4 linked regions of the Stegostoma tigrinum genome follow. The protein of the gene in region 4 binds, or shares a complex with, the protein of the main gene of each other region. Links are inferred from orthologs where the notes say so. Each region holds a gene or a part of one and is shown on either strand. Other genes may lie near its edges. The genes, in order: ppp2r3b, ppme1, arpp19a and serine/threonine-protein phosphatase 2A catalytic subunit alpha isoform.

Evidence for each region.
Region 1: the proteins of serine/threonine-protein phosphatase 2A catalytic subunit alpha isoform (region 4) and ppp2r3b are in contact, whole or in part, in a crystal structure (PDB 4I5L), measured with the Homo sapiens proteins. The link is inferred for Stegostoma tigrinum from reciprocal best matches to the Homo sapiens genes PPP2CA and PPP2R3B. Residues at the interface, in NP_002706.1 of Homo sapiens: Cys20, His63, Tyr91, Tyr92, Arg135, Lys136, Tyr267, Arg268, Arg294, Arg295, Gly296; in NP_037371.2 of Homo sapiens: Met410, Leu432, Asp436, Cys439, Gln440, Met441, Leu442, Asp443, Leu444, Lys446, Glu450, Gly451, Lys462, Leu463.
Region 2: the proteins of serine/threonine-protein phosphatase 2A catalytic subunit alpha isoform (region 4) and ppme1 are in contact, whole or in part, in a crystal structure (PDB 3C5W), measured with the Homo sapiens proteins. The link is inferred for Stegostoma tigrinum from reciprocal best matches to the Homo sapiens genes PPP2CA and PPME1. Residues at the interface, in NP_002706.1 of Homo sapiens: His59, Arg89, Gln122, Val126, Tyr127, Asp202, Ile211, Ser212, Pro213, Arg214, Gly215, Ala216, Gly217, His241, Gln242, Leu243, Met245, Phe260, Tyr265, Cys266, Arg268, Cys269, Thr304, Pro305, Asp306, Tyr307, Phe308, Leu309; in NP_057231.1 of Homo sapiens: Gly84, Gly85, Met157, Asp181, Val182, Thr186, Ala187, Ala190, Ser193, Met194, Phe197, Leu198, Leu291, Trp298, Trp301, Phe302, Lys316, Val323, Asp324, Arg325, Leu326, Asp327, Lys328, Thr331, Ile332, Gln334, Met335, Gln336, Gly337, Lys338.
Region 3: the proteins of serine/threonine-protein phosphatase 2A catalytic subunit alpha isoform (region 4) and arpp19a are in contact, whole or in part, in a cryo-EM structure (PDB 8TTB), measured with the Homo sapiens proteins. The link is inferred for Stegostoma tigrinum from reciprocal best matches to the Homo sapiens genes PPP2CA and ARPP19. Residues at the interface, in NP_002706.1 of Homo sapiens: Arg89, His118, Gln122, Gln125, Val126, Tyr127, Tyr130, Asp204, Asp205, Pro213, Arg214, Gly215, His241, Gln242, Leu243, Met245, Tyr265, Arg268, Cys269; in NP_001293124.1 of Homo sapiens: Phe60, Asp61, Ser62, Gly63, Asp64, Tyr65, Asn66, Met67, Lys69, Ala70, Lys73, Ile92, Pro93, Thr94, Pro95, Leu98, Arg101.

The regions. Positions count from the first base shown.
Region 1 is NC_081359.1:98,680,000-98,687,261, forward strand, and holds the start of ppp2r3b (serine/threonine-protein phosphatase 2A regulatory subunit B'' subunit beta), read right to left. Parts: upstream 3,021-7,262; 5' UTR 2,954-3,020; intron 1-2,953. UniProt on the Homo sapiens protein: The B regulatory subunit might modulate substrate selectivity and catalytic activity, and might also direct the localization of the catalytic enzyme to a particular subcellular compartment.
Region 2 is NC_081359.1:92,327,290-92,334,483, reverse strand, and holds the start of ppme1 (protein phosphatase methylesterase 1), read right to left. Parts: upstream 3,022-7,194; 5' UTR 2,809-3,021; coding exon 2,702-2,808; intron 2,435-2,701; exon of another isoform or gene 2,339-2,434; intron 1-2,338. UniProt on the Homo sapiens protein: Demethylates proteins that have been reversibly carboxymethylated. Demethylates PPP2CB (in vitro) and PPP2CA. Binding to PPP2CA displaces the manganese ion and inactivates the enzyme.
Region 3 is NC_081386.1:19,785,130-19,792,707, reverse strand, and holds the start of arpp19a (cAMP-regulated phosphoprotein 19a), read right to left. Parts: upstream 3,014-7,578; 5' UTR 2,942-3,013; coding exon 2,882-2,941; intron 1-2,881. UniProt on the Homo sapiens protein: Protein phosphatase inhibitor that specifically inhibits protein phosphatase 2A (PP2A) during mitosis. Inhibition of PP2A is enhanced when ARPP19 is phosphorylated.
Region 4 is NC_081366.1:30,139,519-30,146,662, forward strand, and holds the start of serine/threonine-protein phosphatase 2A catalytic subunit alpha isoform, read right to left. Parts: upstream 3,022-7,144; 5' UTR 2,784-3,021; coding exon 2,682-2,783; intron 1-2,681. UniProt on the Homo sapiens protein: Catalytic subunit of protein phosphatase 2A (PP2A), a serine/threonine phosphatase involved in the regulation of a wide variety of enzymes, signal transduction pathways, and cellular events.

The sequences.
Region 1 (7,262 bases), on a different chromosome or scaffold from region 4:
TGGTATGGAGGGAGGGTCTTGAGGCTGTTTTCATTAGAGAGAAGAAGGTTGAGAGGTGACTTAATTGAGACATGTAAGATAATCAGAGGGTTAGATGGGGTGGATAGGGAGAGCCTTTTTCCTAGGATGGTGACGGCGAGCACAAGGGAGCATAGCTTTAAATTGAGGGGTGAAAGATATAGGACAGGTGTCAGAGGTAGTTTCTTTACTCAGAGAGTAGTAAGGGAATGGAACGCTTTGCCTGCAACGGCAGTAGATTCGCCAACTTTAAGTACATTTAAGTCATCATTGGATAAGCATATGGACGTACATGAAATAGTGTAGGTTAGACGGGCTTCAGATCGGTATGACAGGTCAGCACAACATCGAGGGCCGAAGGGCCTGTACTGTGCTGTAATGTTCTATGTTCTTAAATAAACTTGACGTCCTCAAGAGATAAAGGAAGAGTAACTTCCCATAACTTTAAGACAGCATTTAACTGAAGTATCTTGTACTCATTAGAGTTTAGAAAAATGCAAGATGGCCTCACTGAAATGCAAGATTCTTGACAGGCTTGACAGGGTAGTTGTGGAGAGGTTGTTTCCCCTTGTGGGAAGAGTCCAGACCAGAAGATATAATCTGAGAAAGGGGTCACCCATTTTGGGCAGCAGTAAGGAGTATCTTTTCCCACTTCTCAAAGATTGGGCAATCTGTGAAATTCTTTACTTCAGAGGGCAGTCAGGGCTGGGTTGTTAAGTATATCCGGGGCTGGGTCATTAAATACATTCAAAGCTGAGATAGGCAGTTTTTTTAAACAGCAAGGACATCCTGTGTTATGGGGGAAAGGTAGGAAAGTGGAACACACGGCTATTTGATCAAGTATGAGCCCATCAAATGGCACAGAAGACTCAATAGCCTGAATATCCTATTTCTGCTCTCATGAGTGCAATTCTAACAAGGAGCTCAACACCATCCAGAACCAAGTGGTCTTCGTAGTAAGCACCCATCCACCACCCTCAACTTTTACTTCTTATGCAAGTGGCATATAATATATACCATATACAAGCTGCAGCACAGGAACTCTCCTAACACCTTTCAATCCCACGAAATCTGCTGTTAGTTGATCTAGCAAACAGAAACAGAATCCACTATGAGCCTACAAAATGGCTCAAGGGATTGAATGGCCTACTCCTGCTCCTATTAATGATTTTATCATCTATAAGAAGGGCAGCAGATGTACAGGAAAATCCTTGGAATTAAATCACTGGCCCTCAACTGCCTCCCTAATAGCTACATTGATGGACGGGCACGTATACAAGAGGCTGCCAGGGAAGAGGAGGAAATGGGTACAATAACATTTAGAAGGATATGTATATGAATAGGAAGGAATGAGGGGGAGAGAGATGATGGGAACTGCAGATGCTGAAGAATCGGAGACAATGAAGTGTGGAGCTGGATGAACACAGAAGGCCAAGCAGCATCTTAGGAGCACAAAAGCTGGCATTTCGGGCCTAGACCTTTCATCAGAGAACAAAAAGTGAGGGAAATATGGGCCAAATGCTGGCAAATGGAACTAGGTCAGATTGTGATTTCTGGTCAGCATGGGTTGGACTAAACAATCTGTTTCCAAGCTGTATACCTCTGCATCTGCTTTGTGGTCCACCTAGAGCAATGGGACTGCAGCAGTTCAAGAAAATGGCTTGTCACCTCGTTGTAAAGGGCAATAAATGATGGTCAATAAATGCTAGACCATCCAGTAGTGCCCACATCTCATAAAGGAGTTATATTATAAAGGCTCTTTACAATTTCAAATTGGTGGATTCACCCAAATATCAATTATATCAACATTACATCAAGACATAATTTTACAAAAACCAACAGTTACACTTTTATGCAAAACACATACACGGCAACCAAAACAAAATAAAATCTTCAACATGGATATGCAAGGCAGTCGTTTTAAAATCATGAGGTACAAGTAAACCCTCAACTAATTCAGGGCAAAATAAGATGGAAATTCATGGACTAGGCACAGTATAGAGGGACGGGGGGGTAGTTTTTTTTGTAAAGTCAAAAAGCTATAGAAATCATCCCTAAAATCAGAGTCTTGCTTCAAATAAAATACTTGATTTGCTAAAAACGACTTCCTTCATCCTATAAAAATCCCTTTTTAAAAGAATGCTGCCAGGGTTCTTGTGGTGCAATGGCAGTGTCCCTATCTCTGCACAAGGAGGCTGGGGTTCAAGACCACAAAGTGTGGAGCTGGATGAACACAACAGGCCAAGCACCATCTCAGGAGCACAAAAGCTGACGTTTCAGGCCTAGACCCTTCATCAGAGAGGGGGATGGGGAGAGGGAACTGGAATAAATAGGGAGAGAGGGGGAGGCAGACCAAAGATGGAGAGAAAACAAGATAGGTGGAGAGGAGAGTATAGGTGGGGAGGTAGGGAGGGGATAGGTCAAGGAGGTGGGATGAGGCTAGTAGGTAGGAAATGGAGGTGCGGCTTGAGGTGGGAGGAAGGGATAGGTGAGAGGAAGAACTGGTTAGGGAGGCAGAGACAGGCTGGACTGGTTTTGGGATGCAGTGGGTGGAGGGGACGAACTGGGCTGGTTTTGGGATGCAGTGGGGGAAGGGGAGATTTTGAAGCTTGTGAAGCCCACGTTGATACCACTGGGCTGCAGCGTTCCCAAGCGAAATATGAGTTGCTGTCATAACAGTTCTGAAGAGGTGGATTAGAAAACAAAACGTAAAATCAACATGGTTCTGACTGAAGTGCAAACATGATACGAAAGGGAGGAGGCGTAGAAAAGGGGGCTGGCCTATGTGGGGGAACTGAAGCCTGGCGTTTGGTTGCCATGCCATCCAGCCCTCAGCTGCTACTGCAGGCCGCTCTGTGGAATGGCACACGGCAACGGGAATAGGAGGGTACTCTAATGTAACTCAACACCGAGAGCTACGGCACATTCACCTTACCTGTTGCTCTCGCCTTCCTACCCCAAAGGCCTGTCAGCCAGCTTCTCACGCCTCTTGTTTCCCCCCGCCCCCGCTTCAGCCCCTCCCACCCCCAGACCGCACAACGGGTCTCGCGTGAACAGCGCCTCCGCCCCGCTACCCCCTTCCAAATCGCGCGCGCCTCGGTCACCCCGGCAACGCGAGGATCTCCCGCCTTTGCAGAAATGATACACGCCTTGTTGTGGCACGTGGCAAGAGCCCGGGACATTCAGGGTGCCACCTTGCTCCAGGTTATCAGCACGTCTTCCATGAAGGGGGCTCTTTTTTATTGCCATGTCTTCCAATCTCGCTGCATGTGCACATATCACACAATTTCAGGACTTGCACCGTTTCTGGACCTTCTTGAGTGGTTCGGTTAAGTCTGTTGGTTGGATGGTCGGAGATAACAAAGTGTATGAAGCTGGATGAACACAGCCGGCCGAGCAGCATCAGAGGAGCAGGAAAGCTGACGTTTCGGGTCTGGCCCCTTCTTCAGAATTGGGGGAGGGGAAGGGGAAGAAATAAATAGGGAGGGGTGGGAGGCGGATTGATGGATAAAGGAGAAGATAGGTGGAGAGGAGACAGAAGTCAAAAGGCAGGGATGGATCCAGTAAAGGTGAGTGTAGGTGGGAAGTTAGGGAGAAAATTGGTCAGTCCAGTGAGGACAGACATCAAGGGGGCGGGATGAGGTTAGTAGGTAGGAAATGGAGGTGGGGCTTGAGGTGGGAGGAGGGGATAGGTGGGAAGAAGGACAGGTTAGAGAGGCGGGGACAAGGCTGGACTGGTTTTGGGATGCGGTGGGGGGGTGAGATTTTGAAGCTTGTGAAGTCCACATTGATACCATTGGATGGTTGATTTGTTATGCAGAGCCTAGACTCAACAACCTGCATCACCTCAGATCGCTGTCCTCAACATTTCACCTGTAATGAGAGAGTAGCCCTGATGGCTGTTGTGGACCAGGAGGTCTGGGTTTAAGCCCCACCTGACCCAGAGGTGTGTCATAACATCTCTGAACAGGTTGTTACAAAATATCTGAGAAAGCAGCCCTAAGGTAGCACTGTGTGGAGCTGGAGGAATACAGCAGGCCAGGAAGCATCAGAAGAGCAGGACAGTTGACATCACAACCCTTCTTCAGAAATCTGCTCCTCTGATGCTGCCTGGCCTACTGTGTTCCTCCAGCTCCATACTGTGTTATCTCTGACTCCAGCATTGCAGTTATTACTAGCTCTGAGTGAGAAAGCAGCCCTGTTATCTGGTAGAACTGTGATGACTCTATTTTAGTCTCTAATTAATTTTCTTTCCAAATGCTTAACTCAAGCCTTTTAAGAATCATTCTTTCAAGAATTTCTAAATCATTTTCATCAAATCAGTGATTGCCTGCAACTCAGGAGGCACTCATTCCATGAGACCATAAGCTGTAGAAGCAGAATTAGGTCATTCAGCCCATTAAGTTTGTTTTACCATTCTATGAGATCTTGGCTGATCTGATAATCTTCAACTCCATTCCAGAGAGTGGTGAGCCAATGGAATTCACTGCCACAGAAAACTGCTGAGGCCAAACATTGAATGTGTTCATGAAGAAGATAGTTCTTAGGGCTAAAGGAATCAAATATTATGAGGTGAATGTGGGAAAAGTGTATTGAGCTGAATGATCAGCCATGATTATTTTTAATTGCGGGCAGAATCGAATTTGGCCTATTGAGTCTGCTCCGTCATTCAATGACATCATGGTTGATCTATAATCCTCAATTCTACGTTCCTGCCTTTTCTCTATCTCCCTTGATTCCCTTAGTTTACAAAGTCTGTCTGCTCCAACCTTGGACGTACTTAATGACCCAACTTTGCTAGCCCTCTATGGTAAAGTATTCCACAGATTCATCACCCTATAACGGAAGAAATTCCTCCTTCGTCAAAAATGTGAAAGGAAGAATTCTATATCATTCATGTTCTATATTACAAAATCTGCGTTGCTATATGCATGGTTTATGTTGGCCATCTGAGATGCCTTGGGCAGATTCACTGCCATCAACTCTTTTTATTGCTAATAGTCTACACTTAGTGATTCCACATGGAGAAGACTATTCATTTAAAGCCTTCAGGAGAAGAGAGGCTCTGTCTTGTTGAACAGAATAATTTTAATACATAGTCCTTAATGACTGTTTATATTACTGATGTAATGTGGCACCCTCCTGTGAGACATACATGAGTGTAAGCAGTGTCAGAGATAATGGGAACTGCAGATGCTGGAGAATTCCAAGATAATAAAATGTGAGGCTGGATGAACACAGCAGGCCAAGCAGCATCTCAGGAGCACATGCTGCTTGGCCTGCTGTGCTCATCCAGCCTCACATTTTATTATCTTGGAATAAGCTCTGATGAAGGGTCTAGGCCCGAAACGTCAGCTTTTGTGCTCCTGAGATGCTGCTTGGCCTGCTGTGTTCATCCAGCCTCACATTTTATTATCTTGAGTGTAAGCAGTGTTTCTTCTGAACTGCATGACTGACACATTGATATACATGTTTGGACATTGCAGCTGCGCACAAACTTCAGAGGGCAAAAATCAAGAGGTGTAGCATGTAAGTACACATTAATATTAGCTCACAAGTTAGAAACTGGTTAGCTTGCCACAAGGAGTGGTTCCTTACAGATGATTTTAATCAACCTGTTCAGAACATACCATGACAACCTCTGGAGTAGGTGGGCCTTGATCCCAGGCCTTTTAGCCCAGAGGTAAGGACCTGCCCCTTGTATCTTTTTACCAACTGATTGTAAGATCATCCATAACTATGTGAAGAAAAAAAAACACTTGTAAAGACAAGTGTAGTTTTCATAGAAACCCTACAGTGTGGAAACAGGCCCTTCAGCCCAACAAGTCCACACCGAACCTCATTGCATCTCACCCAGACCCATAATCTACACATCCCTGAACACTGCAGGCAATTTAGCATGGTCAATCCACCTAGCCTGCACATCTTTGGACTGTGGGAGGAAACTGGAGCACCTGGAGAAAACCCACGCAGACACGGGGAGAACGTGCAAACTCCATGCAGACAGTCACCTGAGGGTGGAATCAAATTCAGGGCCCCGGCACTCTGAAGCAGCCACCAATCAGATATAGGGGTTATTATAATAGAAAACAGAGATGGCAGATCAATTAAATAATTATTTTCATTCTGTATTCACAAAGGATAACCCAAAAAATGTCCTTGAACTGTTGGGAAAGACAGTGTAGTGAGACAGAGGAACTGAAGGAAATCAGATGGGAAAATCAGGGTAAATTGATGGGATTGAAAACTGATAAATCTGTAGGGTCCAATAATCTACATCCCAGATTATGTAAGGAAATGACCATAGAAATAGTGGGTGCGTTGGTGATCATCTTTCCAGATTTTGTAGACTTTGGAGGGTAACTAATGTAACCAAACAGTTTTTAAAAGGAGGTAGAAATAAAACAGGGATAGACCAGTTAGCCTGATGTGATTGTAGGGAAATGTCTAAGGCACATTATAAAAGATTTATTAGAAGAGCATTTGGAAAACAGTGACAGAATTGAACAGAGTCAGCATGGATTTATGTAAGGAAAATCATACGTGACAAATCTATTCGAAATTTTCGTGGATGTAACAAGTACTGTTGTAAGGAGTGCCAGGGATTTGTTTTGCTTGGACTTTTAGAAGGCTTTTGATAAGGTCCCACATAAGACGTTACCATGCAAAATTAAAGCGCATGGGATTAGGGGTAATGTACTGACGTAGATTGAGAACTGGTTGGCAAACAAGAAACAAAGAATAGGAATAAAAAGTTTGTATTCCAAATGGCAGCTAGTGACTATTGGTACCACAGGGATCACCGCTTGGACCCTAACTATTCACAATATATGTTAATGATTTAAACGAGGGAGCTAAATGTGACATCTCCAAGTTTGCAGATGAGACAAAGCTGGGTGGGAGGGTGAGCTGCAAGAAGAGTGCAGAGATGCTTCAATGTGATTTGAACAATTTGAGTGAGTGAGTGTATGGCAGATAAAGTTTAACTGGATAAATGAGAGGTTATCCACTTTAGTGGTACTGGATTGGATGATCAGTCCTGATCATGTTGAATGGCAGAGCTGGCTCAAAGGGTTGAAAGGCTTTCTCTTGCTACAATTTTCTATGTTTGCACATTATGGATGATGTGTTTGAATCTGTATCTGGGGCATTTCAGTTATGCCAAATTACCATGGGGATATGGTGCAAGGGACGTTCCCTTTTGGACTCAGTTATCTGTGTGTTATTCTCTCCACAAAAATGCA
Region 2 (7,194 bases), on a different chromosome or scaffold from region 4:
CAGACACGGGGAGAAGGTGCAAATGCCACACAGACAATCGCCTGACGGTGGAATCAAACCTGGGTATCTGGCGCTGGGAGGCAGCAGTGCTAACCAGTGACCCACCGTGCCATCCCTATTTGTTGTAATTTGTTGCTATTTTGTAAAGTGTCATATTTGGATGCTGGCAGTTTAAAAAGATATGCTGTCTACAAAGCAAACAACAAATAAAAACGTTAACAGTTCAACAAAGATCTGGCTGAATGATGCACTTCATGAGTTACGCCTTCCATTGAAGCTGGTACTTTTCAATACAGCTTTGATGCCAAGATTCCAGCAAAGTATGCAGTTGATGGAAATTTAATATTACATGGACTGTGTAAAAATCAAATTACAAGTTGCACATTCCAGGTAGACATGGATGCCAAAAATAGTGTCTTAACTCAAGGGCCAAGCATTACTCTTTACATACCCATCACTGTTGGAAACAATTTAAAGATAATGTATTCCATGAAATGTATGTTGGGAGAGCCTGAAGCAGGCTTTTCCATTGTGTTTTGGTATCAGTGTGGTTAAAAAGGCCAAACAACACTGCTGCATTGTTCTTGTTGATGTCAGACTTTTAAATAATTTGATTACTGAATTATAAGTTCCATCATCTGATTGTCATAACTAAAGATTTTTCATAGCTGAATTGTTTTCTATGAACGAACGAAAGAAATATGAATTGGTTTGCACTGGTCACCTGACAGGTCTCAAATCTTGTCTCAATTGGAGCAGAATAAATGAATTCATCACCACTGAAATTACCATTTTGTCCAAAGACATCAAAACCAGGCAACTAAATCAGCATCAGGAAAATCAAATCTCTTCTTCACATTTTAATGAAATGAAAAGCTCACTCTCCAGTTAACCACTTTAGAAAGAAAATGGATTCAGGCTCCAGATTACACACTGAACTATAGTTCAATAACAGCTTTTGAGGACCAGAATAGACAAAAGGAAAAAAATGGAATTATAAACAAGAACTAGAAGACCTTCCTTGTTCATATTCTCATTGTTTCAAAAGACAGCAGCCAGTTAAAAGCCAAATGGGGAAATCAACTTAGAGAATTCAGATACACACAAACAACACATCAAAGCCTCAGGTTACACAATCTCAAGTACTCCACAAACCAGACAGTCTCCCCTTTAAACGTAGCATTAAAATTATTGTTCTTTCATTCAAGAAAACAGGAAGAGAGTAGGTGTGAGGGATTGGTAATCGATTGTTGAAAAGAAATAGCTGTTGCAAGCAACAAAGAGGACAGTTGAATCATCTTCTCATCTAAAACAATACATCATGGTAAGTAGTGAGACAAACTTTTTAGGTGCATATTAAATGCTAAAGCTGTTCCAAAATGAACGCTACTCTAATGAATGGTATAAATTAGATTCAAAATCAGCTTTCTTCATAAAGATTCAGCCTCAACCAGAATACCAAATCATTTCAGTTCACCTCAAAGACCATCCCACATAAATAATCATTAAATAGCTTCCTTTTCTAGCAAAATCTATTTAAATTAATTATGAATAAAACACAATAAAAACGTTACAACAGTTAAGTGACAAAAGACTTAAATGATACTTGTCTTAGTGTGCTACTCGTCACAGAAGTGACATCAAGAGAATCAGTTAATACCAAAACACACAAGGGTCAAAATATGCAAAAACAGTCTTTCCTAGCAATTTCTTCCCTTTCTAAAGAAGGGTCTAGGGCCTGAAACGTCAACCTTCCTGCTCCTCTAATGCTGCTTAGCCTGCTGTGTTTGTTCATCTCTGCACCTTGTTGTCTCTTCCTAGCAATCTGCTCTGTCACTGTTGCTAATTTAACATATAAAAGAGATAACAGGAGTGGGCCATACAGCCCCTGGAGTCTGCTACACCATTCAAGATTGATCTGATCTTAGTAATGACTCTGCCTATATATCTGATGCCCGTAACCCTCAGCTTTCCTATAATCTTTTCACCTCAGCATTTGACATATTCAATGACTCAACCTCCAGAGCTCTCTGCGATAGAGAATTCCAATGATCATGATTCTTTGAAGATTCACTCCTCATTTTTGTTTTAAAGAGGTAACCCCTGAATGCTGAAATTATGCTCCCCAATTCTAGATTCTGAAAAAAGAACTAAAATGGCATAGATTGCGATATTAACTCTGTTTGTCTCTCGAAAGAGTTTCCAGCATTTTCTGTTTTTATTTCAGAAATCCATAAATGACAGTATTTTACTTGTCATAAAGTATTCCCTTCATATTGTTCAATCACAAGCTGTATTTAGCATGTGTTACAGATAAAAACTGAATTTTTCCACTTACATTTAAAAAAAATTAATACTACACTTTGCTTTAAAAAGGAGGAAGAAAGCATCAATCCGTGGGGTCGTACTGAAGTCCATACTGCAAGCAATTAAAAAAAACCTAAGTTAAACTTGCACCATCCATCCTACTCGTCTCTGCTGAAGACGTATTGAAATGACAAACAAGGTTAAGCTTATTTAACTGTACATTTACACGATACATGACAGGTGATTTTTTTAAAAAAACTCAAAATCAACCAAACTACAAAAAAAACACACAGCATAGTTCCGCTTGCTTTAAAATCACCTCAAAAACTGACTGGGCGTACGCAGTCAGCAGGAAAAACGAACAGAAATCACGGTTTGAATTTAGAAACCTTACATGCACACTAACCCCATTCTCATTTTAGCTCCATGCTGGGGACCTGACGGCATCGGTGGTCGCGAAGGCAATTTGCTCAGGAACAATTCTTTCTCTAAAGAAGACATGCTTCGTAGACATAAATTGTTTTAAAAGAATGAAATTAATAATCTTCTCAGAGTAATGCCGCAGCTCTTCAAAAGCGGCTGCTCCGGTCTTGCACTTATGGGCGCCACATAAACACCAAAGTATCCTCGCCAGTAGTGAACACTGGGATTAAATTTTTAAAGTCCTGTCTATATTCCTGAAGATGGCCTACTCTTCCGATAAGAGAGGCGGTCGTTGCACAGTTGCCTCGCTGCTGGGACTTGTAGTCCTCCCAGTGCCCGTTATCACCAACTAGACACAGCACGGCACAGGCAGAGGACTACAATCCCCACAATACCATTCATCACATTACGTAATGGCTAACCAGCACCCCGGATATCTGTTTAGTATTGTCGAAGTTATAGGTTTTATATTTAGATTCCGGCGCACCGTTGCTCTGGTTACCAGTTTGAATTTTAACGGAAGTTTTGGTCCTGCCAGCTGCTTGATGGCTGTTTATTGCCATCATGAGGGGGCGGGGTAAACGAACAATTCTGCATAAGAAGAGTACTGCGGATGTTGGAAATCTTAAACAGACGCGGAAAATGCTGTAGAAACCCAGAAGGTTTAGCAGCATCTGTGCAAAGAGGAGCAGAATTAACATTTCGAATCCAGTATGACTCTTCTTCCACATTGCTGTTTGAACTGGCTCAGTTAATTTAGAAGTTAGTCGAATTTGAACAGAACACGGAATCTAAATCATCGTATTATTGCCCCGATGAGTGATTCCAGATACTCTATTCCATGCTGTGCATATTCGTTACAGAATACCCGTTATTTTCCATGCGACACCTTTCACTAAATTGTGAGATGCCCAATAGTGCAGACAGGATGCCCAGTGTGAACGTGGGACTTCCAAGAGGTTCTTCCAAAACCAGCAGCAATGGAAGCAAGGCATATCTGAATAGATGTGGAGATTGCACTGCACTAGGCTAAACAGGAGGGTGAAGGGAATTTCCAAATGACAGCTATGATGTTGCAAATTTTAATTATTCTACTCACAGATTTTAAAAAAGGAGCAGTCTTTTAAGGGTCTTAATCCTGCTATGCAATTCAACACAATCCTACCTTATCTTCTGTCACCTTTTTTTTGCCTGATCCAGTTATCCTAGATTTCTTAAAAAAAACTAGCCATCCTAGCTATTAATTGCTTCATTTTAAGGCAGTTAGGTAACTGTCAACAAAACGTTTGAAGAAAATTTATCAAATTTTACCTGTTTAAAATGTTAACTTTGAATTGCTAATTGCTTCTAAATACCTTCTTGTAAATTAATCACCCCAGAAAGTCTAATAATTAGCACTAACAGGAAGTACATTATTATGAAACTATCACTCAGTCACTAACTTTACAGAATTATTAAGGTGCAGAAGGACCGTAATTAGCCTTTCGTATGTCTGCACTAGCTAGAAGATGATGAAGCAAACGGCTCATTAAGATTTATCAGTGCAAGTCATTACATTAAAGGCAGGTGATACAAAGTAATGTATGACAAATTCCATTTGTCCATTTCCATTTGTGCCATGTAAGCCAACAGCCTGTGGAAAATATAGCAAAAGCAGAGGATGTTCCACCATTTATTACATTGATTCTGCCCAGTATTACATCTATTTTAAAACAAAACATTATTGTTTCCTTAAACGATCATGACATAAATTTGGTTGCCTCATCTTGGATTGTAACAAATGTCATTGGTCTAGTAATAGAAAGACCCAGGCTAATGTCTTCAGGACATAGATTCAAATCGCATCAGAGCAGTGGGTGGAATTTAAAGTAAATTAATAAAATTGGAATTGGAAGTTGGTATCAGTAATGGTAATTGTGAAACAAACTATTTATTATCATGGAAATATGAAACCTAGTTCATAACTGCCTTTCAGAGAAGAAAATCATCCATCCTTACATGGTGTGGCCTACATGTGACTCCACAATAATGCTGTTGACTCTTAGCTGCCCTTTGAGGTGATCGAGTAAACCGCTCAGTTCAAAGATATCTAGAGATGGGTTACAAATGCTGACTAGTGATATTTACATCTCTTGAAACAATAAACAAAAGTACCTCTCAGTTTTCTTCTGATTAGGAAACATAATAAAAGATATTAGGATGTGATCATTGTCACGATCCCAACTGATGTTATTGTTGAACAAGTAATCTGGCTTGACAGATTTTATTTGACAAGATAGTCCATCACTGGAACACAAGCACTGCAGATCTGGTCTTGACAATGAACAGAAGTTTACTACAGCAAAGAAAAAAATGTAATACACCAAGCTCTAACAAATGACACAATTTAAAAGATTTCACAGCACTGTAAAAATACAATCTGACGTATCCCAACAGTATCACATTATAGTACTCAAACATCAGATAGAGTTTTCTTCTCTATTACATCGATAGTTTTGACTTGACTGTTGCTTTCAATTCTAATTTTTGACAGTTTTGTAGTGTTTCCTCAGAGTATTCACATTGATGAGTTTGTACTTCCTTGATTTTGAATAGCCTCTGCAGGATTCCAAACATTTCTGCTCTGGAATTTTCAATCTAAAATTATTACACTGATCTAAGCTATTTCCAAATTGTTCTAAACTCCTTTTTCTAGGATAAACTATTACAAACATCTAACTTCAATGAGGACTTCTGCAAACTGAAACTAGAAGTTTTCCAAGCTATGTGTGTTCCCTAAGCAAAAGAAAAGTCAATTCTTGACGCTTCTTACTGAAAGCAGACAAATTCTCTTCAACATAAAACTTGTCTTAAAACTGACCCAAATGTAAATAAAAAATTCCATTAGCATTCCATCTCTAAAACCATGGCTGCAGAAATTCTTGCAGAGATAGTAGGAACTGCCGATGCTGAAGGATCTGAGATAACAGTGTGAAGCTGGATAAACACAGCAGAGGAGCAGGAAAGTTTGACATTTCAAGTTGAGACCCTTCTTTAGAAATGGGGAGGGGAAGGGGATTCTGAAATAAACAGGGAGAGAGGGGGAGGTGGATAGAAGATGGATAAAGGAGAAGATAGAGTGACATGAGACAGAAAGGTCAGAGGTGGGGTTAGAGTGAGTGAAGATGAATGTAGTTAGGGAAGGGATAGGTGGGTCCAGGGAGGATGGACAGGTCAAGGAGGATGGATGAGGTTAGTGGGTAGGAGATGGGGGTGGGGCTTGAGTAGGGAGGAATGGTTAGGGAAGTGGGGACTAGCTGCTCCTGCCCCACCGAACTTATCTCCATCTATCTGGACTATATTTTCTCCCCCTTGGTCCAGAAACTCCCTACCTATGTCCATGACACCATCCACATTCTCCACCTCCTCCAGAACTTCCAATTCCCCAGTCCCCAACACCTCATTTTTACAATGGATGTCCAGTCCCTATACACCTGCATTCCCCATGCAGATGGCCTAAAGGCCCTCCGCTTCTTCCTGTCACGCAGGCCCAACCAGTTCCCCTCCAATGACAGCCTCATCCGCTTATCCAAACTTGTTCTCGCCCACAACTTCTCCTCTAATTCCTCCCAGCTCCTACAGACAAAGGGAGTGACCATGGGTACCCGCATGGGCCCAAGCTATGCCTGCCTCTTTGTAGGATACCTGGAACAATCCCTCTTTCAAAGCTACACTGGCCCTAAACCACATCTCTTCTTATGTTACATTGATGATTGTTTCAGCGCCGCCTCATTTTCCCCACGAGGAGCTCGAACAGTTCATCCAATTTACTAACACCTTCCACCCCAACCTTAAGTTTACCTGGACCATCTCTGACACCTCTCTCTCCTTCCTGGACCTCTCTGTCTCCATCTCTGGCATCCAACTGGAAACTAATATCCATTATAAGCCTACTGACTCTCACAACTACCTAGAATATTCCTCCTCTCACCCACCTTCATGTGAAAAGGCCATCCGTTATCCCCAATTTCTTCGCCTCCGCTGCATATGCTCCCAAGGTGAGGCATTCCACTACCGAATATCCCAGACATCCTCTTTTTTCAAGGGCCACAACTTCTCCTCCACAGTGATCAAAAATGCCCTCGACTGTGTCTCCTGCATTTCCCGCAACTCATCCCTCAGACCCTCTATCTGCAATAATAACCAAAACAGAATCCCCCTCGTCTTCAAGTACCACCAACCTCCAAATCCAACACATCATCCTCTGACATTTCCGCCATCTGCAATCTGACACCACTACCAAAAACATTTTTCCCCTCCCCATTCTTACATGCTTTCCGGAGGGACCACTCTCTATATGACTCCCTTGTCTGCTCCACACTCCCCTCCCGCCCCACCACACCTGGCACTTTTCCCTGCAACCGAAGCAAATGCTACACCTGCCCCGATACCTGCCCCCTCACCCCCATCCAGGCCCTAAGACTT
Region 3 (7,578 bases), on a different chromosome or scaffold from region 4:
CAGACTACATCCCAAACCTGTGGAAACAGTTCATTATCTACCCTGTCTTTTCTTATTAAGAAGATGGAATGCTTTGACCAGATTATCCCATAGCCCTCTAAATTCGACAGAAAGCAGGCATAACTTACACAAATCTATCATAACGTAACCCCTGAAATCCAGGTAACATTCTTTTAAACACATGCTGCACTGTCTCCAAGGCCAAGAAAACCTTCCTATCGTGCGTTACCTGGATCTGCTCAAGATTTCAAGTCAGGTCTAACCAGGGTTTTGTAAAGCTGCAAAGTTCCACATCCTTACATTCCAGTTGTCTAGATGTAAAGGCCAGCATTCCATTAGATTTCTTGATTATTTTCTGTACCTGTCCGAAACATTTTAAAGATCTATGCACCTGAACACCAAGTCGCTTTCAACATCTACTAGGTTTAACATCAGAACATCTAGATCGTCATTGCCTGGAACTTGCGCATAAATGTTAATTGCCACTTAGCCCAAGCCAAGACGTCATGCACAACTTGATGGACTTAATATCCATATACACATGACTGTGGCCAAATGCCACCCTAACTGTATTTAGAAGTTTGTTGACAACACCATTGTAGGCCAGATTTTAAACAAGAGAGAATGCAAGAAAGAAATTCAGTATTTAAGCAGCATGGTGGAAAGACAACAATCTCTCCTTCAACATCAGAAAAAGGAAGGTAGCGGTTATGGGCTCCAGGGAGCAGAGGGCATGCCCTATCTGCATGAACATTGCAAAGGTGGATATGGCTGAGAGCGTCAACTTCCTGGCAGTGATGATTACCAGTGTGTCTTGGTCCACTCACATCAACATGACAGCCAAGAAAGCACAACTTTCTCAGAGATAATGGAAATATGGCATGCCCACAGAGATCCTCAATTTTTCTAGATGCACGACAAACTATTCTACCTGGATGCTTCAACCATGGTTGGCAATATCTTTACCCAAGACCACAAGAGACTACAAAAGAGTTGTGAAAACAGTCCAGTTCATCATGCAAACTAGCCTTCCATCCAGCCTTGGGGAAACCAACATAATCAAAGACCCCTCCCACCCTGGTTACACTCTCTTCCATATACAAATATTCAAGAACAGCTGCCTCCCTGTTAACAGACTTCTCAAATGATAACTCTGTTCTTTCTCTGCACCTGGAACATTGTATTTTGAACTGTTTTGTCACCATGATGCACTTTGTATGGTACAATGTGCCTGTACAGTATATGACATTGATTTATTGTTGTCACATGTCACACAATTAGTTCATGGTCATGCTTGGTTTGAAGTTGTCAATAAAATGTGAAGCAGAGACACTGGGAGAATCAAAACAAAAGCATTAGTGTGCAGGTTATTAGTGATTAGCTACTCAATAGAACTTGTCACAATTCCTTATGATCATTTGTAAAAGACTGGGTGGGAGCACGCCAACGCGACAACAGCTGGCTGAATTTCTACGTTCTTTGAAAGTAATTAACAAATACATTAAAACCTTCATTTTCCATCATAAATCAGATTGCAAAACAGCAAAATCCAATTAAATTCATGTTTGTGCAATAACAGCACGTTATATCGGAATGCAGGTGATTCTGCTCACTGTACTCAGGAGCAGTGCATCAGCAAAATCAGGGCCTAAAGTTAACTCAGCAGATACAGTAAACATAAAAGCAAATAGACACACATGAAATCCTGCACATCGATCTTTCCAATTGGGCAGAGAGTTTATTATGTCACAGGAGATGGAGGCAGCAGCACTCTCTATAAAATGGCTAATACTCCTCATGGTTAGAAGCAGAGTGGGGACCAGGGTACAAATACAACAGGACCTACAGTGTCAACCATTTAACACCAATTCAATGTCACACTCTCCAGCAGCATCTCCATCCCAGCCACTTGCCTCTCCCAATAATTAACCACATCCTATCCTCCCCCCCCCCAACAAAAACCCCACCCCTTCCCCCCTCCCCCAAACAAAACCCCACCCCTTCCCCCTCCCCCAAACAAAACCGCCCCTTCCCCCCTTCTCCCCCAAACAAAACCGCCCCTTCCCCCCTCTCCCGCCCCCTCCCCCCAAAACAAAACCTTCCCTTTCCCCCATCTCCCGCCCCCTCCCCCCAAAACAAAACCTTCCCTTCCCCCATCTCCCGCCCCCTCCCCCCAAAACAAAACCTTCCCTTCCCCCATCTCCCGCCCCCTCCCCCCAAAACAAAACCTTCCCTTCCCCCATCTCCCGCCCCCTCCCCCCAAAACAAAACCTTCCCTTCCCCCATCTCCCGCCCCCTCCCCCCAAAACAAAACCTTCCCTTCCCCCATCTCCCGCCCCCTCCCCCCAAAACAAAACCTTCCCTTCCCCCATCTCCCGCCCCCTACCCCCAAAACAAAACCTTCCCTTCCCCCATCTCCCGCCCCCTCCCCCCAAAACAAAACCTTCCCTTCCCCCATCTCCCGCCCCCTCCCCCCAAAAAACCTTCCTTTCCCTTACCCTCCCCAGCCTCCTGCCCATCCTATTTTCCTACCGCCACTACCTCCGCCTCCCCCGACCCGACCCCATACCCTTTCAGACCTCGCCCTCCATCTCCCCACCGTATCACACTCAACCTCCATCTGAAACGCTCCACTCTCCCTCGGCAACTCCAAGAGAAGACCCCCATCCGCGGGCACAGGCCTAAGCGCAGCCCTCCCCAAGGGGGAAGTGGGCGGCTGGCGCGACGCTGCCTCTAATGCAGCTTTATGCAGCCGGCGATCGAAGTATAGCCAGCCTCCTGCCTGCAGCAATAGGGACCCTCGGCCTCGGCCTCGCCCCCAGATCGCGGTAACCCCCCCCCCGGGTGCCATGCCGGTGTGGTGCGGGCCGCGGTATCCTACCTGCCGTTCTTCACCCGAAGCTTCCTCAGACCGCCTCACTACCTCGTTCCTTGATGACATCGCCGCTGGTCTCAGAGGGAGCGCTGGATAACCGAATCTGAACCGAAGCGTATCCCTCCGCACTGCCGTCTGCGCAGGCGCACTCCCGTCACCCCGCCCACATTTATAACGTCACATATTCTAGAAACTACTTCAGTGATTTTTAATAACAACCTTTCTTTTTCTAAATCCACCTAAATGTATATTTAGTTTTATTTGATTTTCATTTGACAACATCAAGGATTTTCTTCTCGTCCTAACCTCGCATCAGGTCAACGTCCGTCTAGTGACGTCAAGTGCGGTTGCTTCTGGGAATTGTAGTTTCTTGTCCTTTCCCCCTCAACAATAGACAATGAAACACAATGGTCTGATTCATCGTGTTTAGAAGTAGGGGAGCAATACAACCAGTAGAATTAGAATTAGATTTTGCTTTTCAGTGTCAACTGTACAATGTCGCCATTCCCGGTGGAAAGTTCATTTTCAAATATCACTGTGTTTTCCTACTGGATTTCCCTCCCATCAGTTATTTGGCGGAACGCAGGAAAGATGAGAGAACAAAATCACAAAACAAACGGAGATGGGAATGGGTTATCAGTGAAAATGCAAGTCAAATCATAGAATGCTTACAGTGCGGATAGAGGCCATTTGGCCCATTGAGTCTGCACTGTCCCTCTGAAGGCCATAGACCCTATCCCTTTAGCCCTACATTTACCAAAAGTAACCCACACAGCCTGCACATCCCTGGACACTATAAGGCAAGTTAGCCTGGTCAAATGACCTAACCTGCACATCTTTGGACTATGGGATGAAACCAAAGGAAAACTGTACAGACATGTGGAAAACATGCAAACTCCCCACAGACAGGCTCCCGAGGGTGGAATCGAACGTGGTCCTTGGCACTGTGAGGCAGCAGTGCTAGCCACTGTACCTCAAGATTAAGGGAACTGTCAATGTTAATAGTGGAACCATAACCAAAAAATGCATTTTTACGCAGTAGCAATGTTTGGAATAAAGTAAACAGCTTGGAATAAATTAAATGACACATTACTCTGCATGTAATTGTTTGTACACAACTATGCCTTCCCTGGTGATCTAGTGGTTAGGATTTAACAGTCTCACCATTACTGTTCAGGGAATCAGGATTTGTAGAGGCAGCACAGCAGCTCAGTGATTAGCTACTTCACAGGACCAGGTTTCCATTCCAGCCTTGGGAAACTATCTGTGTGGGGTCCGCACATTCTTCCCATGTCCGAATGGGTTTCCACCAGGTGCTTTGGTTTCCCCGCCTCAGTCTTAAAATGTGCAGATTAGGCAGATTGGCAATGATAAATGTGAGGTTACGGGAATAGGGTTGGGGGGGGGGTGTTTGGAGGGTCAGTGTATACTCAGTGGGCTGATCGGCCTCTTTCTGCACCATATGGATTCTATGATGCCTGGATGAGCAGAAATGAGAGACTGGGAAGGCTAAGACACTATCACCATCCCTTTTTCTAGCAACTGTTTGATCTTCACAAGAATATTCATAACCTGGGTGTTGTTTTGATGAGAGATAAACATCCAAACAATCCCAGGACTACCTACTTCTGCCCCATTACACTGCCTGATGCCACTTTACTTTCAGATCATCTGCTGAAACCCTTATTAATTCCTTTGCCAACTCGAGATTGACTATTCCAATGCTGTCCTGGCTAGCAATATTTCCTGTAAGGTGAAAAGCTGCCGGGATGCTTCACGACCATTGATCTGTGTGCTGATGAATGACTTCTGCTTCCAGATACCACTATCCCATACAGAACTTGAATGTCTGCACAGCAGCAAAACAAATGACAGGGAATGTTACTAGCTTGCTTCCTGTTGCATGTGTAACCTACCTGTAAGAAAGTTCACCTTTAAAGACTCCAAGTGTTGTTTGCATGCAATGCTAAGACTCTGTCTGCCAGATAGTCTGTTGTAGGTTTGCAATCTGCACATACAAATCATTCAATTTCCTGTAACATCTCTTCAAAATTTATAATGTGCTTTCCTGTTTAAATCAATGATCTGTAGAGTTAATCAGTCCATGGCCAGTGACTAATTAGTTGAACATTATCATTAATATGACATTGTGGACGTCAATGAAAATATCTAGCCAAAGAGGACTATTATGCTTGATTAGTTAGCAAGTAAGTTATTTTACAAGTGAAACAAATGGTCAACACTCAAGTCTTGCTAAAGTTCATAAGAAAACTCTCAATGTTTTGTTTGCTACAGCATCAGAGAGCTTTAATAACATAGCTGATAGAAAAGCAGACATATCCCTTTTAAGAAGCAGTTTAGCTAACTTGACAAAGTCAAGTGTAGCTGCAAAACAGAAAGCAAGAAAAGCCACAGGCATATTTTCAGAATGTCTGCAAAAATTATCTTGATTAAATTGGGACACAGCAGACCTCCTAACAGAATTTTGGAATGTTTAAACAGCATATAGCATGTAGTTTCTAGTTTTATGTATGTCAAATTCAGAAAACCAAGCCTTTAAAATTTACTTAGTAGTTGGGTATGAAGGTCTATACAGACATATACATCAGAATTAATGGCTGAAGAGCTAAAAGATCCTAAAAGATATGTACCACATTCGAAGACCAATCCAGCGTCAAATTAAACATTCATATCCAGTGATTAGAATTCATGTCATTTAGACAGAAGCCCACAGAATCTATTTGCTGAATCTTATGTTTTTTGGCTAAATGCAAGTCTCGTCAAGTTTAGTGGAGTGCTTCTTGCTTTAAGGACGAGGGTGTTTTCTTGCCATATCTTACCAAACACTTTGCATTAATTAGTGTTCACGCCCTTATGGCAAATATCGTGTTCACTTCTGCCCCACCTTGTCATGTGACATTTCCAGAGCAATGTACCATTCACAGGAGATTCTGGAATTGATCATTATCCCTGATATTGGTGCCACATATAAAGGCGGGCTGAGCTCTAGCGAAGCATTGCCTTTCCAGAGTTGCCCTCATGGTTCCTGACATTTCACCCAGACATGGCAGACAGGGATAAATTGGTGGCCTGTTTTATGCACATGTTCCTGGACGTTTTGATGGACAAGGTGGGACACAGATGGGATGAGTTCTCCCCCCAGGGACCTGCAGGGGAGGCCATACACCAGACCATGCCAATCTGCTCCAAGCTTGCCACCCAGAATAGAGCAGTTCGGCTGTCTGGACTAGCACTACAAAAAGAAAGTCAATGTCCTTCTCCTCTCTGCCAGTGAAAGTGGCATCATCTTCCCTCTGAAAGCAACCTCCACTCTATCACTGTTACTGCAACCACCGCCCACCAAGGGTCATGCTCAATCACTGTCACTACTGCCTGCAATATCTTCCCTCGCTGACACCCACCGTGACCCCTGACAACACTAACCCTGCGCGACCTCTGCTCAGGGCAGCTCTCCAGCTGCATCGACAGTAACAGCTGTGACATCCATAGAATCCCTACAGTGTGGAAACAGGCCCTTCAGCCCAACAAGTCCACACCACCCTTAGAGCATCCCACCCAAGACCAACCCCCTATAACCCACCTAATCTACACATCCCTGAACACTACGGGCAATTCAACCTGGACAATCCACCTAACCTGCATATCTTTGGACTGTAGGAGGAAACAGGAGCATCTGCAGGAAAACCACACAGACACAGGGAGAATGTGCAAACTTCACAGAGACAGTTGCCCTTCGGGGAAATCAAACCTGGGTCCCTGACACTGTGAGGCAGCAGTGCTAACCACTCAGCCACCCCCACTTTCATCATCTATAATATCTGCATCTCTCTCATTTCAGGGATATAAGAGACCACAACAGGGCAGAAAGAATCAAGTCAGGTGGTGTAATAGTGGGTGAAGGGAGAACAGGGTGCAGGCAAAGCACAAAATAGCCTAAGGCAAGATAATGCATGGCAGGGATGTTGTGAATATACAGATAGGCTCAGAGCAAGTGGGCACTATGAGAACAAGCAAAGATCTTGGTGATGCAACCTGGCCCAGTCCATGAGCTGGATGCCTATCCCCAAATGCACAGTGTCCTTACTACAGCATTACAAACATGAGTAACTGGGACAGTCTGAGCTGTAACATTGATGTGCAGAAGAGTCCTGTATGTAAATCAGAGATGTGCCTCTGGGGTTCATAGAGGCTGGCACATGTTGGCTGTCAGCATCTAAAGACTTGGGGCGTGTGTGGCTGGTGCCTATGGAGAATGCCCAAGATTTTGTGCCCAGTGTCTAACATTGCAATCTTTTGGAGCAAGTAGTGATTTGAACCGGCGAAGGACCCACTCTGGTTTCCAATGTGAAATTATCCAAACTGCTAGTTTGTATGGTTTGATAAGATCACAACCTATTGCAAGTTAGAGTGATAACATGATGATTATCAAGCAATAATGAGTGTCAGTTGGGAACTCACCACTGTCTAGCAAGAGTCTTGCCATGCTGTTTGTGAAAATAAATCTAAGCATGAGAATACAATCTCTGAGTTGAAGAAGTCTTCAGGGAATTCTTCTGAACAATTCATGAAGATGAATGAACAGCTGAATGAAAATGAAAGGAAGTCTGATAAATTAAAAGCCCTGTATCATCAATCCAATGTGGTTGACTCTTAACTACATTCTGGACAATTAGGGACAGGTA
Region 4 (7,144 bases):
ATTTCTTCCCGCCTCGATAAAGGGAATCAAACTGCCAGCGAGCAGAAAACAAAAATTGAAGCTAGCATCAACACCAATATCCCATGTTTCACCTGGGCAGCCACATAACAAATTTACCCACAGGATATGCAAATATGCACTGCAACATTAAAACCAAGTTTTTAAACGAAAATCTGTCCGCCGGAAAGAACATTACCAGAAAAACTCATTTGTATCACTCCACAGATGCTGCCGAACCTCTGTATTTTTGGCATTTTCTACATCAGTTTCAGATTTCCTGCAGCACCTATTGTATTTTGCTTTTGTTATATTGAAGAGTAGCAATGCATGGTACTACAACACTAAAATGCAGCTGATTCCCAAGCTAAGCTTCTGACATTGTAAAAACCGAAAGAACTGCAGATGCTGTAAATCAGGAACAAAAACAAAGTTGCTGGTAAAGCTCAGCAGGTCTGGCAGCATCTGTGAAGGAGAAAACAGTCAACATTTTGGGTCCAGCTCTGAGGAAGGGTCACCAGACCTGAAATATTAACACTTTTTTCTTCACAGATGCTGCCAGACCGGCTGAGCTTTCCAGCAACTTTGCATTTGTGCAACCACATTTCCCACCTTCATAACAATCTAAAATTACCCTTATCTCATTTGCTACTGTACCATCTTTCATGCCTTTATTAATATTCCAACGTACTCATGATCTCCCAAGTTCTACTCCACACGAATACAAGGTCACTAAACACCCTGCTGCCTGTGTTAACTTACATGGTTACAATCATTTATTACCGTGTGCTCACTGACTACAAATGCAATACTGCCAGTGCAAGTCTTGTGGCTCAGTGATACTGTCCCACCCTCTGAGCCAGAGGACACAGATTCAAGTCCCACCTGATCAGCTTGATTAGAAATATCTGGAATATTTCCAGTCTCCATTTATAGAATCTCACTTTTGCTTCCTTAACAGTCTTTGCCCTCTATCTCAGGAATCCCCTTTAGTATAATCTGAATAAACTGAAGGTTGGGTCACAAGTCAATCATTACCTTTTTGCATAACGGAGGAGGATGGGGGGGTGCTGGGGCGGAAAGAGGATAGTCTTGGTTGAACAGCAAAGTGAAGGAATTTCACCATTTTGGTCAGTGAGGAAATTCATATTTGATTTTATTAATCGTATCATTTTCTACCATCCAAGCACAGATACATTTTACCATAAGAGTAACTATGTGTCAATCCAAACATTTAAAACTTATATACACTGGAGAAAACTGGTCAACATTAAATGGTCAACTTCTAAGCTTGACTGCTAGAATTAATGAGGTCAGAAGTAATTTTTGAACTCACTGCTAATTACAGATAGACAGAAAAAAATCTTAAGTCAAAATGACAAAGCCACTCCAAAAGGAATATCCAGTTAATTCAAATTACATATAACTTTCAATCATATTAATGATCAAACAAAATTCATGACACAATTGAACAATTTGATAATGTGATCGAGACTTGCATTCTTAAGGCAGCCAATCACATTCTGACTTTGGAATTCCACATTAGGAGTTGGTGTCAAATTTTTTAGTACTTTTAGATTTAATGTTGTTAAGGACTTTTTCTTTCAAACGCATGATAAACATTGCAGAATGGTAGCAGTCAAAAAAAAGCTGATTTTATTGGTTTTCAAAGTTACTAAGAAAACAATGGACTGAAAATGCAAGCATGTGCATTCCATCCAATGACGTCAATTTGTTGTTACAGCACACACCTTCCTGTACACCATTGTTGCTTAATGGTGTAATTTCAAAAGACTATGACAAACCAAGGAAAGGCATTCGATGGCTAAAGAATGATCTACTCCCAAATTTCAGCCAGTGGTACGAAAATAGTTGATTTACAAAGACGTCAATCATAACAAAATGATTGAAATCTCTCAAAACAACACCTGACATTAGCACCGATACTTCAGTGAAATACCCAAAAGCAACTGTGCTACACAACTTCCAATACAAAATGCCATTTTCTTTCATCAGTTCAATCCATTCAAGACGCTTCTTGCTGCTCTCTGCTGTTACGTACTACTCAAACAGTACACTTTCCGTAACATTAGTTATACACAAAAAAAGGATTAAATACTCAATGAGTAACAGTACTAATATCGCACTTATAATACCATTCTAAGATACATTACAATTTTACAAGATCACACAGAACTCAAAAACGAAAATAAAAATAACAGTTCCAAAAAGGTCTACACTTGAGATATGACATACGGTAAATGGTTAATATTCTATTTGGGGATGAGGCGAGGACAGAGAATGGGTGTATTTAATGGTCATTATTTGGAACAATAACGGGATTTATTTTGCTGGGCTCCGGCTGCTGGAAACTCAGTCCCGGAAGGCGCCATTTTAGGTCGGTCTGCCGTGAAAGCCGACTTTCTGCGGCAGAGAGAAGCCGGCTCCCCCTGACCTCAGAGCCATCGACAAACAAACCCATGTTTCTCGTGCTTTCGGCGGATCATTCTTTTCAGAGCCAGGGTTAAGGAACTCCCAAGTGAGGAAGCCGCGTTAAGCGCTAACCGGAGGCGGCCGACATTTTCCGCCGAGGATCGCGCACTAGGCCGCCCACCGGGGACGGCGACCAGTCACCGAGCCACTCGCCGAGGAGGGTTAAGATAGAGCTGGTTTAGCGGCCTCACCTTTTCACATAGCGTCTTCACTTGGCTTTCGGTCAGCTGTTTACAGTCGTTGAGCTGCTCGATCCACTGGTCCAGCTCCTTGGTGAACGCCTTCTCATCCATTGCTCCCTTTTACCCGAGTACCCGCTGGAGCAACAGGACGGATCTTTATCAAGGAGCAGTTTTATCACCCTGAATTTGGAAAATGTGTATAAGTTTTCCTTTATTTTAAAAAAACTGCCGAACAAGATTTGTGAAGATCGTTGGTAGTTGAGCCGTCGGGAGCTGATCAAACCCCTTGTCTCCCTCCGGCTCTGGATCTCTATCCCACAAAATGGCCGCCGCCCCGCTGCAATGAGCTCTGCGCAGGCGCGTGCATTTCCCCTCCCTCCCCCAACCGGGAAAGGGGAGCATGAAGGATAGCGCATGTGCACGGATCCAACACAGTCGCAGCGGCATAGAGTGATGTGTGGTCAATTATTACTGTCCATGTTAACTCTATCCTATCGTCTAGTGTCAGTGTGCATGGTCACTATGGTCCAATGTCACAATATAGTCTAGTGTCACTGTCCATGTCACTATATGATCTCGTGACAGTGTCCATGGTCACTATATGGTCCACTGTCAGTGTTCATGCCGTTGTATAGTCGAGCGTCACTGTGCATAGTCACTGTATATCTGGTATCACTGTTTAGTCACAAGATGGTGCAACATCCCTGTCCGTGGTCACTGTATGGTTCACTGTCACTGTGTAGACCAACATGTCCATGGTCACTGAGTGGTCCAATCTCACTGTCTATGACCATTCTACAGTCCAAAATCACTCTTGACACTTACTGTATGGTCCAACAGCATTGTCAATGGTCACTGTATGGTCCATTATCACTGTCCCAGTCATTGTATGGCCTGGTATCACCATCTACAGTCGCTGTATGGTCCATTATCACTGTCCCAGTCATTGTATGGCCTGGTATCACCATCTACAGTCACTGTATGGTCCAACATCACTGTCTATGGTCACTGTATAGACCAACATACCAAAGGTCACTATATAGTTCAACATCATTTTCTGCAGTCACTGTAAGGTTCAACACCACTGTCCATTGTTATTGTATAGGCCAACAAGTCACTCATCACTATATGGCCTAAAAAGAATCTAGCCTATTGTCATCTAATGAATGATTGGAAGTAAACTCGACTGAAGGAGTGTAAAATGGTGCTAAACAAAAGTGGTTTAGTCTAACAGACCACAATATAAAATATGAGTGAATAGGTATGTGATTCTATGCTTGGATCATATATGTATTTTCCGGAAACCAGCTCAGCTATGATCAAAGTAACAAACTGAGGGAAGTGGGGGTGGGTTTTGTTGCATGGCAAGTTATAGAAAATTTTAAGGGATGGTGTTCAAAGTTGCAGAGGCCATTAAAGTTTCCAGAACCAAGTAACAGGACAGCGAGTATGGAAAGCGTCAGGAATGAAACTCCAAGCACAACAGATAAGGGGACAACTATGAGAAGGGGGGCAGTGAATGCAGGACTGAAAATGTTGTACTTAAATGCGTGCAGTATATGAAACAAGGTAAATGAGTTTGTCGTGCAGATGGAAATTGGATATGATGTTGTAGGCATGGTGTGGCTGCAAGGGATTCAGGGCTAGGAACTAAATATCCAAGGATATACATCCTGTCGAAAGGACAGGAGATGGGCAGAGGGAATGGGGTTGCCTTATAAATAAAGAAATGAAGTTAAATTGATTGAGCAAAGGAGTTGAAAGTTCATGTTGCGCTGTACAGGACATTGGTAAGGCCTTTTTGGAATACTGCATTCAATTCTGGTCTCCTTGCTATAAGAAAGATGTTAAACTTGAAAGGGTTCAGAAACAATTTACAAGGATGTTGCTAGGGTTGGAGGGTTTGGGTTTTTGGAAGAGGTTGGGGCTAATTTCACTGGAGCATCCGAGGCTAAGTGGTGACCTTATAGAGGTTTATAAAATCATGAGGGGCAATTTTTTTAGGGTAAATAACCAAGTTCTTTTCACAGGGTAGGGTGTTAAAAACTACAGGGCATAGGTATAAGAGATGACCAGGTGTAGAGCTGGATGAACACAGACAGCCAAGCAGCATCCGAGGAGCAGGAACGCTGACGTTTCAGGCCTAGACTTTCTTCAGAAATGGGGGAAGGCAAGGGATTTCTGAAATAAATAGGGAGAGAGGGGGTGGTGGATAGAAGATGGATAGAGGAGAAGATAGGTGGAGAGGAGGTAGACAGGTCAAAGAGATAGGGATGGAGCCAGTAAAGGTGAGTGTAGGTGGGGAGGTAGGAAGGAGATAGGTCAGTCCAGGGAGGACTGACTGGTCAAGGGGGCGGGATAAGGTTAGTAGGTAGGAGATGGGGTTGGGGCTTGAGGTGGGAGGATAGGTTTAAGGTGAGAGGGGAAATGTTTAAAAGGGACCTAAGGAACAACTCTTTCACGCAGAGGGTCGTATGTGTATATGGAATGAGTTGCCAGAAGAAGTGGTGGAGACTGGTACAATTACAACATTTAAAAGACATCTGGGTGGGTACATGAATAGTGATAATGGGAACTGCAGATGCTGGAGAATCCAAGATAATAAAATGTGAGGCTGGATGCTGTGTTCATCCAGGGTACATGAATAAGATGGGTTAGAGATAAACGAGCCAAATGCTGGCAAATTGCACTAGATTAATTTTGGATATCTGGTCAGCATGGACGAGTTAGACTGAAGGGCCTGTTTCATGCTATATAACTCTAGTGATAGAGTTTAAAGATGTAAAGGCTGAACAGAATAGAATATCTTGTATTGTCACATGTACTCCGGTACAGAAGTATAGAATGGCGCCATCTTACAATTACATAGGTACAAATCTTGAACATAAAACAGGAATAAAAGGAAAAGTATTAGCACTACTTACAGTGTCCAAAAAAATTAGAAATGTGATAGTTATGACATAGTTAAACAATTGACATTACCGTCTAATAAAAAATTCCAAACAGCAGCAGCTCAGCATGTGGTCAGAATACCTAGTCTAACAACTGCCTCTCTCTGCTCCAAGCCTCCAGTCCACTCCGACCGGCGCTCATCTGCTCCAGGACTCATACCCCTCGTCCTGCTCTGGGATTCATTTCCCTTCACATTGCTTAAGGACTGCTTCCTCTCGCGCTGCTCAGGGATTCGTTTCCCCTAGTGCTGCTCTAGCCCTTGTTTCCCCCCGTGCTGTTCCGGGACTGCTTCCAGTGGCACTGGTCCAGGACTCATTCCGATCACGCTGCTCCGGGACTCCTTTCCCTTCACATGCTCCAGGACTTGTTTCCCCTCACGCTGCTCTGGGATTCATTTCCCCTCGCATTGTTCAGGGACTGCTTCTCTGCACACTGCTCCAGGATTGCTGAAAAGAAAGAAAAAGAACAGGTGGAGCAGAGGGGCTCCAGGTGGAGCGTCCTACTTTGCTGCCATCTTTCCAAAATCTGAGTTGGGGTTAGAGTTGACAATTTGTGAAGAAAGAAAGACTCTAACGTGCAGGCCTCCTAGCAATAGTCAGGATATGGGGCAGAAAATAAACAGGAGACGGAAAAAACATGTAAGAAAGATGCTATTAACAATAATCATGGGGGACATCATGAGCAGGTTGACTGGTAATATCAAGCTGGCAGTGGATCCCAACAAAAAGTATTCATGGAATTCAAGAGATTTTTTGGAGCAGTTTGTGGTAGAGCTCACTAGAGAATAGGCAGCTCTGGATTTGATGATGTGTAATGAGGCAGACTTGATTAGCAAGCTTAAGGGGAAGAAACCCCTAAAGGGCAGTGACCATAATATGATAGAATTCACCCTGCAGTTTAAGAGAGAGAAGGTTGAATCAGATATATTGATATTACAATTGAAAAAAGGTCACGACAAAGACATAACGGAAGAGCTGGCCAGAATTGATTGGAAAGGTAGCCTAGCAGGGAAAACAGTGGAGCAGCAATGACTGGAGTTTCTGGGGTTAATTCAGGAGTCTTAGCAGAAATTCATCCCCAGAAAGGAAAAAGCACACTGAGGAGGACAAGGATAATGACTAGGACAAGGCAAACATGACTGACAAGGGAGGTCAGAGACAGCAGAAAAGCAAAAGTAAAAACAAAAATTTTGTTTATTCCAGTTCCCTCCCCCCATCCCCCTCTCTGATGAAGGGTCTAGGCCCGAAACGTCAGCTTTTGTGCTCCTGAGATGCTGCTTGGCCTGCTGTGTTCATCCAGCCTCACATTTTATTATCTAACAAAAATTTTGGCTAAGATTAGTGGGAATCATAGGGACTGAGAAGCCTTCAAAAACCAGAAGGAGGATAACTAAGAAAGAAACAAGTGGGGAAGAAGATGAAATATGATGCTAAGCTAACTAGTGATATAAAATGTTGCAAAAGTCATTTTTAAAGAGAGAGGCAAGGATGGACATTGGACTGCTGGAAGATGAGGCTGGA